Linked DNA regions of Callithrix jacchus. The protein of the gene in region 2 purifies or fractionates together with the protein of the main gene of each other region. This does not show direct contact. Links are inferred from orthologs where the notes say so. Each region holds a gene or a part of one and is shown on either strand. Other genes may lie near its edges. The genes, in order: CTCF, RPL13A and RPL7L1.

What was found.
Region 1: the proteins of RPL13A (region 2) and CTCF purify together in Homo sapiens (affinity purification with mass spectrometry; 4 studies listed by BioGRID and IntAct, with this or other methods). This does not show direct contact. The link is inferred for Callithrix jacchus from reciprocal best matches to the Homo sapiens genes RPL13A and CTCF.
Region 3: the proteins of RPL13A (region 2) and RPL7L1 purify together in Homo sapiens (affinity purification with mass spectrometry; 3 studies listed by BioGRID and IntAct, with this or other methods). This does not show direct contact. The link is inferred for Callithrix jacchus from reciprocal best matches to the Homo sapiens genes RPL13A and RPL7L1.

The regions. Positions count from the first base shown.
Region 1 is NC_133521.1:25,148,092-25,150,701, reverse strand, and holds the end of CTCF (transcriptional repressor CTCF), read right to left. Parts: intron 2,031-2,610; coding exon 1,846-2,030; 3' UTR 558-1,845; downstream 1-557.
Region 2 is NC_133523.1:43,259,197-43,263,566, reverse strand, and holds the start of RPL13A (large ribosomal subunit protein uL13), read right to left. Parts: upstream 2,874-4,370; 5' UTR 2,852-2,873; coding exon 2,837-2,851; intron 427-2,836; coding exon 354-426; intron 314-353; exon of another isoform or gene 230-313; intron 56-229; coding exon 1-55. Other genes in the region: FLT3LG (fms-related tyrosine kinase 3 ligand), read right to left, coding at 4,289-4,370. UniProt on the Homo sapiens protein: Associated with ribosomes but is not required for canonical ribosome function and has extra-ribosomal functions.
Region 3 is NC_133505.1:51,390,473-51,393,047, reverse strand, and holds part of RPL7L1 (ribosomal protein uL30-like), read right to left. Parts: intron 2,320-2,575; coding exon 2,156-2,319; intron 896-2,155; coding exon 758-895; intron 1-757.

The DNA.
Region 1 (2,610 bases), on a different chromosome or scaffold from region 2:
CACTAATGAACAAGATTCCAAACACGACATAACTCCCTTTCCACCCACCTTCCTGGGCTGCTAACAGGCAGCTCTACTATCTAGGAGGGTCTCCTCACTACCCGGTAGTTGTGCATCTGTCTCTCCTTTCAAATGAACTTCTCTAGGGTAGGCTGGGCCTAGCTTCTCTCTGTTCCCTCACACCTGGCAGAGCTCCAGGTACTGATCCCAGCCCTCCTTGAGTGGAGATCCTGAGTATAGAACTTTCCATCAGCCCCTTTCACTCTAAGCAGCTCTATGGCCCACCTACTCAAGTGGATCACAGAAGCTATGGCTGCTGTCCATCTACTCACCTCTCTGCTCACACACACTTTTGGGGGAGTAAAAAGTTATAGCAGGATGCACTCAATATCCAGTCACCTGCCAAGATCATCTCCTCCCATCTGCTAGAGGAAGTACCATCCTAGGGAACAGAGGTTGCCTGTGAAAGGCAGAAGCCTGCACAGCCTGGAAACCATGTAAGCAGCCCCCCAACCTCCCTCAAGCAGGCAGGAATTAAGCAAGATGGAGTCTTTGGAGCACTTGTTAATCCGTTATGATTTATTAGCTGTACAGCAGTAGATCCTCCTCCCCAGCTTTCAACCCCATTACATATTTTATTACAGGTCTCATGTTGGCATCCTAAAATAATGAAAAATATCACACAGTACAGCTAAGTACAAAATGCATCAACCTAGAGTCTGATAGCTAACTGATGGCTCTCTTAAAAGCAATACACAGAAGAAAAAAGTGTTTGAAATCAGTAAGACTGAGGCTCTCTAAAAAACACATTTTTAAACATGTGACGGTTCATGTGCAAGAATCACTTTTTAGTTGGTTTTGCTTCACATTATTTTTTGAAGATCCAAAGTTTAAATTACTGACCTAGTGAAATTTTCTGGCCCAGCTTTATAAGGGCTGCTGTGACCCACTCATAATCAGCCTTCTGCTTTAACAGAAGATTTATAAAACACAGCATTCAGCTACAAACAGGGCAAAGAAAATGTCGATGGGAAATCATAACTCAAAGTTAATTGTATAAGGTTCAAATGCTGGCTCCGTGGGCTGGAAATCATGATCTGCCACGTGGGTGTCCGTCACTGGCGGGCAGTGCCATTCTGCTACATGATTGTGATCCAATTCCTTGTCAACATTTACTCACTACAGAGTCTGTGGCAACTTAATTTGCAAGTAATTAAAATGCTGGGTTTTCTTACACTGCACTTCTTTTCAACCTCTTAATTAATGGAAAAGATTAAAATGTAAAAAAAGTTATTTACAAGCTTGACCATACCAGAAACTTTGCCAAGAAAGAGGCAAAGCTTTCAGGACAGAACCTGATCGTAGCATGCCATACTACTGGTGTGCAGCTGACTCCAAGCAAAGGGAGTCAGGGAAAAGCAAAAGCAAAAAACAGTTTAAAAGTCTAAGTCCTTCCCAAGTATACATTTACAATTAAAAACTCTCTTGGGAAGAAGACCATAGAACTCTGGGAAGCCTGGTGGCCATTCTGGAGTGGTTTACCACATGGAGGGAGGGGTCAATGTCTCCGTTTCCATCTAGAAACGAGTTAGTCGTCAACACTGTCCTCAGCACTTCACAGTAAACCCTCGGGGACTCAGAACATTCCATGATTTGCTAACATCAGACAGCAAATTCTAGTTAAATCACATTTTTTCTAACATCAGCGTTGAAGTTTTCGTTCTTGGTATGTTTGGTAAAATGGGCTTCTTTTCCCAAAGCCAAAAGAAAGAAGGGAGAAAAATTAAGATGCAGGCCGTTTAAACACAGCCCAGAGCAGTCCTGGTGATGCATAAGGCTCCGCCATCACCGGTCCATCATGCTGAGGATCATCTCGGGCGTGAGGTCTCCATTGGGGGCATCTGTGGCAGCTGGCTGGGCCTCCTCTTCCTCCCCCTCTGCGGGCTCAGCATCTGGCTCTTTTTTTACTTCAACTATAATGTTCTCAATTGCACCTGTATTCTGGTCTTCAACCTGAATGATGGCTGTTGCTGGCAAAGAAGAGCACAGACAGAACAAATGGTGCAGTAAAGCCCCAAGAATCACAAGGGTCCTTTAGATTGACAGTGAATGAGATGTCAGCAATGCAGGAAAGCCTTATTAGCTAGCAATCCACAGAAAGTCAATTTAAAGAGCCCCCGCCCTTTCTTTTTTTAAGGTGGAGTCTCACTCTGTCACCCAGGCTGGAATGCAGTGGCACAATCTCAGCTCACTGCAACCTCTGCCTCCTGGGTTCAAGTGATTCTCCTGCCTCAGCCTCCCGAGTGGCTGGGACTGCAGGGGTGCGCCACCACGCCCAGCTAATTTTTGTGTTTTTAGTAGAGATAGGGTTTCACCATGTTGGCCAGGATGGTCTCAATCTCTTGACCTTGTGATCCACCAGCCTCGGCCTACCAAAGTGCTGGGAATCATAGGCATGAGCCACTGTGCCTGGCTAGAAAGCCAATTAAAGGGCTAGGTGTGGTGGCTCATGCCTGTAATCCCAGCACTTTGAAAGACTGAGGCAGGCAGATCACCTGAGGTCAAGACCAACATGGTGAAACCCCGTCTCTACTAAAAATACAAAAATTA
Region 2 (4,370 bases):
TAGAAATTGCCAGAAATGTTGATGCCCTCGCAGCGAACGACCACCACCTTCCGGCCTAGAGGGAGGGAGAGGATTACGAAGAGCTGAGGGCTCTACCACAGCCTGCACAGGCATCCCCCAGACACAATGCAGTACTTGCCAGAGCCAAGTTCATGTTTAAATGAAAAGCTAGCCTAATGCACAATCACTTCTGAGCCTCAAGTCCCTGGCCCTGGGGAAGATTTGCTGGCAGGTCTCAGAGCGGTGCATGGGGTTGATCTCATGGCCGTGAGACTCAAACGAAAGATGGTGAATGTTGCTCATCACGGACCGCCAGCGGTGGCTCCACAGGGGGACTCTGGGGGGCGACTTACCCAGCAGTACCTGCTTAGCCACGATGGCTGCCAGGCGGCCCAGGAGATGGCCTCGACCATCAAGCACCAGGACCTGTGGGAGACAAGGACAGTCTTTTTTTGTCCTCAAGCAACCTTGAACCCAGCCATCACAGCTGGGAACTATGCACCGAGGCCCACTCTACAGATGAGGACAGGGGCTGAGAACACAAGGCTGCTTCAGGAGTGAGTGAGCAGTGCAAATGCCCGAACCCCTCTCCTATCTCAGGTCTTCTATGTTTTTTTAATGCTCAGACTGTATTTTGCGAAGCAAGAGGATGAGCAAGGACTTCAATGTAGACCAGCAAGGCTCTGCCCACTGATTATCCAGTTACAAGACCTTATAACTAAGTGTAGGAGTGACAGTGAGTGTCTTGCTGTTGCACAGGCGGTCAACCTCCCAGATCAAGCTATCCTCCCACCTCAGCCTCTTGAGCAGCTGGGGCCACAGGCACACCGCCACCACACGCAGCTATTTTTATTTTTTTTTTTTGAGATGGGAGTTTCTCAGACTTGAAATGGGCGAGAAAGGAATTAAAAAAAAAAAAAAAAAAAAGGAATGGAGTTTCATTCTTGTTGCCCAGGCTGGAGTGCAATGGTATGATCTCAGCTCACTGCAACCTCCGCCTCCCCTGAAGCTTGGATTACAGGCTCCCACCACCATGCCTGGCTAATTTTTGTTTTCAGTAGAGACGTGATTTCGTCATGTTGGCCAGGGTGGTCTCGAACTCCTGACCTCAGGTGATCCACCAGCCTCAGCCTCCCATATAATTTTTGTACTTTTTTTGTTCAGTCAGGGTTTTGCCATGTTGCCTAGGCTGCTCTTGTATTCGTGGCCTCAAGTGATCTGCCGGCCTCAGCCTTCCAAAATGCTCGGATTACAGGGTCGAGCCACCATGCCCAATCAATTGTAGAATATTAACAGCATCTATCCTCTGTATAGGGTGTTGCTACCACAAATTTCATTTGGAAGAAAACCGAACTTCAGGTGGGGCGAGGTTAGGCCGAGCAGGCATAAACCCATGCTAGCTCTGCTATTGCCACTCTCCTTGCCTAGGTAAACTGCTCAGGCACCCAGCCTCAGCTTCCTCTAGAGGAGAAATCCTGGCCAGGCGCAGTGGCTCACACCTGTAATCCCAGCACTTTGGGAGGCCTAGGCGGGCGGATCACTTGAGGCCAATACGGTGAAATCTCATCTACTAAAAACACAAAAATCAGCTGAGCATCACGGCGGCCAGCTGTAGTCCCAGCTACTTGGGAGGGTGAGGCAGGAGAGTCACCTGAACCTGAGCAGAGGTTGCAATGAGCCAAGACCCCGCCATTGCACTCCAGCCTGGGAGTCAAGGCGACTCCATCTCAGAAAAAAGGAAGAAAACCCCAGAGTAGATATCTTCATTGTTATAATGCAAAATCACGAGGCATATATTTGTTGTTACACGTCCTTTGTAAGTGTTGGAACGCAATACAGATATACACAATCTAAATCCAGACTTCCCGAAGTCTTGACCTTGGCCCAAACTCACCAATTCCCAAGTTTTGATTCCCTCCCCTGTCAAATAAGGTTAACAGTATCTGCCTCAGGAATATCGTTAACTAGACGAAACAATGCAAACTGTTAGACACAAAGACACACGTTCGGTGAACACCACCACTTGCTTAGATCAGCCTGGCTCAGAAATTCCGCCCCCAACAACCAGACTATTCACAAGGAAACCTTTCCAGGGCCAACCTCCACTTTATAGTTAATTACACAAGGAACAGGAAAAAGGCCCCCCGGGCGTTTGCAGAAAAAGATGTTCCATCCTTGTGGAACCATTTGTCACAGCTCTCCACTTTCAGAAGCCAGCAGGCCTCAGGACAATCGCCAACCCCCTCAAACGAAGGAAAACGATTCATTCCTGAGTGCCCGGCAGGCAACAGCTCTCTCGACCCCCCGCAGAAAAGTATTGAGAATCAAAACCACCGAGCTGCAGGGGACCCCGATTAACACCTCCACGTGAGATTAAAGCAGCCCGCGCACTGGGAAGGATGGAAATACCTTCCATTTTGGGCAATCCTCAGTTTCTCACGGCCCCGAAACGGCCCGGCCAGACTTTCGCGTGTTCCCCATCGCCGAGGACACACAAGGGTCCAATTCAGCCAAGACTCGACCCCGGTGCCCCCACCCATTACCCAAGCTCAAGGTAAGCGAGGTCTAGTTGTAAAGTAATCCGTCCTGTACTGGGAGCTCCATCACCCTCGCCACGAGAAAGAAATGCCGCATTGTAGCCAACCCTAGGCCTAAAGAGAGCCCCGTCCTTTTCTACATTTTCCCCTTACCCTAAAACACTTCTATTTTGCTTAACTGTAGGTGTTAAACTCTGCAACACAGGTAGCAGAACCGAGAGGGTACGACCCCGTTCCGGCCTGAATCCCACCCGGCCCCATGCCACCCCATGCCGCCCCGACACATGCGGAGCCCGCACCTGCACCTCCGCCATCTTCGGGAGCCGCCCGGGAAAGGAGGAGGTCTTGTTACAGGGTTTCTTATCCCTTAAAACAGGGGCGGCAGAAGTGACGTGAGCGCGCAAACAACTTTCTGTGTTGTCATTGGTCAAAGGGTTGTGCGCGCGCGCAGAGATGCCCCACGGAAGGCGGGTTATCTTTTAATTGTCCAATCCGGACACACTTCCGGTCAGACCTCCGCGACCAGAGCTGGGCCCTGCAATAGATCACGTGGGGTGTGGAAGCGGTGCTGCTGGGGTGTGGCCGTCGCGTCTCTGCGGCCGTGTGTTTGAGGGGCTGTAAATCTCGTTCACACGCTCTGTCTGCCTTGTTTCTAAGTGGAAGCGCCACTACTCCTTCAAGCGACTGAAGGCTGCAGGGCCTCTGGTGGCCCTCAGGGGGAGACCAGACCCGCCAGGCCCGCCCTTCCACGCTCAGTCCAGGCTTACTTTATTTTCTAAGACAGGGTCTCGGTCTGTCACCCAGGTCAGAGTGCAGTGGGGCGATCATGGCCCACCGCAGCCTCGACTTCCGAGTCTCAAGGGATCCTTCTGCCTCTTCCTCTCCAGTAACTGGGACTACGGGGGCGTGCCATCACGCCTGGCTATATATATGTATATATTGTTTGTTTTGTCAAGGCGGGGACGGGGGCGGTGGGGAGTCTTGCCATGTTGGCCAGGCTGGTCTCAAACTCCTGGGCTCAAGCGATCTTCCCATCTGGGCCTCTCAAAGTGCTGGGATTACCGGCGTGAACCCCGGTGCCCTGCCCGTTCTAGGTTTAGAGATTTGGATTCCGGTGTCTGGTCGACTTCACTCTGACCTGGACAAATCCCTGGCTTTATCTGGGCCTCAGTTTCTCCATCTGTAAAACAGGTGGAAGTGGTCTTCCCCAGGGGATCTAGGAGTGGATGAAGGAATGACTTCTAGATACCTGGCTGCACCAATCCGCTGAGCGTTCCTCTGAGAAACTTCTCACTTTCTGGACTGTTGGCCTTTGCTTCAGATGGGTCCCTTGCCCAGGATGCCCTCCCCAACCCCTCCAAATCTGGCTTGTCACCATCGCAGTGCCCTTTGGCTCTGGAAAGCCTCTCTGATCTCCCAGCCTGGGTTAGTTGCCACCTACACCCCTGGGCTCCCACACTGCCTCTATGCTATCTCCATAGGAGCCTGTGGCATCCTGCACGCAGGCACGCTGAGTCCCTTGTCTTCTCCTCCATAGCCTAGGAGACCTGGGGCGTCTGGGCTGGTTCTGACTCCGATCCGGGCTCTAGCATTAACCAGTCCCGGCCTGGGCCTCCAGGAGACCTCAGAAAACACCTATCGAATGAAACATTGCATTGCAATGGAAAAACCAAGACTGAAATCAAAACTACCCCATCCACACCCAGACAGACCTGGCCAGAGCTGGTAGAAAAGGATGATTTGTATACATTTCATGGGACAACAGCTTTGTACAGAGTTGGGTAAATGGGGCCGGTGCTGGGTTCTGGTGTTGCCTCCATCCTGGGGAGGAAG
Region 3 (2,575 bases), on a different chromosome or scaffold from region 2:
CACCAGGGAAAACATCGCCAACAAAAACAAAACAGAAACCATGTCCTAGCTTAGGGTCTAGGACTCTGGCCTTAAGCAACCCTCTACTCAAGATGGCACAAGAGCTAGAAATGAAATCCAAGCTTTTGTTGAGTTTCAATGTTTGAGCAATACTACTCTTACACAAACACTGCCCTTAGCTCTGCTTTAAGACTTTGAAGAACCAATCTCTGCTTGATCCAGCCTTACCCTACAACTAAACCAGCCCTACTATGGCACTGTTAAGACTCCTCCCTGCTGGGCGTGGTGGCTCACGCCTATAATCCCAGCACTTTGGGAGGCCAAGGTGGGTGGATCACGAGGTCAAGAGATCGAGACCATCCTGGTCAACGAGGTGAAACCCCGTCTCTACTAAAAATACAAAAATTAGCTGGGCACGGTGGTGCGCGCCTGTAGTCCCAGCTTCTCGGGAGGCTGAGGCAGGAGAATTGCTTGAACCCAGAAGGTGGAGGTTGTGGTGAGCTGAGATCGCACCATTGCACTCCAGTTTGGGTAACAACAGTGAAACTCCGTCTCAAAAAAAAAAAAAAAAAAAAAAAAGACTCCTCTGTACCCCGTGTGCTATGTTTCTTAAAGCTACCTGCTGATTTCAGGGTGACCGTGGTCACAGCAAAATGTTCCTTCTACAGTGACATGAACCCTGGAGAATGAGACCCAGTGCACCCTAACACACTCAAATAGAAATCTAATGTGAATTAACACAGGAAGTCTTACTCACCCCCAGGTCACATAAGGTTCCACTATACGCAGCATTTTTAGGTTCTGGGGAGTGACTTTTACGAAGACACCACTAAAAATTTTCTTTAGGCGAAGTCTTGCAATGGTTCTCTGCACCAGTAAACTCACACCATCAATCCTGAAATGAGTAACAACAGAAGTCAGACAGACTCCCTCCAGTTTATGTCAGTCCAGCAAGCACAACATGCGAGGTCACAACACTGGCTATCTGGAGCTCAGTTTAGTGGGAGGTGGTTATGAAAACATATCCTTTCATGATGTGGAGCAATGCCTGGGGTGCTATGGAAACACAGAGAAAGTCCCTGAATTTGTGTGTGTTTCAGGGGTAGGGGGAGTGGTGGTATGTAGGTCTACGCATGTCCAGCTAAGGAAGCTGGATGTGCTTGTACGGGCGGTAAAAGCTACTGAAGAATTTTTTTTGAGACGGAGTCTCACTCTGCCACCTAGGCTGGAGTGCAATGGCATCATCTTGGCTCACTGCAACCGCTGCCTCCTGGGTTCAAGCAATTCTCCTGCCTTAGCCTCCTGGGCAGCTGAAACTACAGGCGTGCACCACCATGCCCAGCTAATTTTTGTATTTTTAGTAGAGACGGGGTATCGCCATGTGGGCCAGAATGGTCTTGATCTCTTGACCTCGTGCTCTGCCTGCCCTGGCCTCCCAAAGTGCTGGGATTACAGGCATAAGCCACCGCACCTGGCCACTACTGAAGATTTTAAGCAGAAGCAACACCACCAGATTTTCTTCTGACAATTACCAAGGGCCATGTATGGAACAGATCAGTGCGTGACACTAGAGACAAGGAAATCCAGAAGGAAGGTTAATACAATAGTCTAGGAAAAACACGCACAGTGGCAGAGTGCCACAAAGGACAGAGCTCATAAATATGCAAAAGCCACGGGGTGACTGGGTAGGGGAAACAGCAAGAAGTAGAGCTGTACAAAGGGGTAGGGATGGGGTCAGGAAAGTTCCACTAAATGAGGAAAAGTATCTCCCCTTCAAAGAATATGCTTCATCCACTTGGCCTTGTTTCAGTTCCTAGAATGATTTCCCCACCTCAGGACTTCAGCATGTATGCCTGCAAAGTCTCCCAACAACGGTGAACGCCTTTTACATCTTTCAGGTCTCAGGCTGAAGTTCCTGCTTTAGAGACGGTGTCCTCAACCCATCTCCCTAGCGAGCACTTTACCCTCACATCACTTATTTCCAAGCCTATCTGTCTAAGGAGGTCTTCCAAATACTTCAGACTAAACTGTGCTTAACCCTGACATCCTAGCAGAACTTGCCTGAGTGGCTTGGGTCTAATATCTTATCTCCCTAGAAATGGGTCTAAAGCTTAACCAACAGCCTCATGCAATTAGGAAGACACCAATTCCTTACCTTTCAATGCGTACGACAAAGGCCAAAGAATGTTTATCTGGCAATTCCAAGGCGTGAGGCTTCACTTCTAGTCGTCTGACACGCACCTTGTCACGGGTCTGCCGCCAGGAATCATGTAGGAATGATTCCAATCGCTTAAACCTGGGCCCTTTTCCTTTCCTCTGCTGCAGAGAAGACAGACCGTCATCACCATCGTCATTTTGTGCTTCCATTCATTTTTACTTTTACAACAGTAATTTATGAGTGACAACTGATAGAGCTTTTTCCCCGTGTTCTACAATGGGGAGCAAAGCAACATCCTCTGTTTTCATATAAAGGAAAAATCAGAAACCAAAGTAAAGGTGGAGGAGAGAAAACTTGGGAATTATTGGGAAAAATAATCAACAAACAAAAAATTAATTTACATGCTATTAATCATGT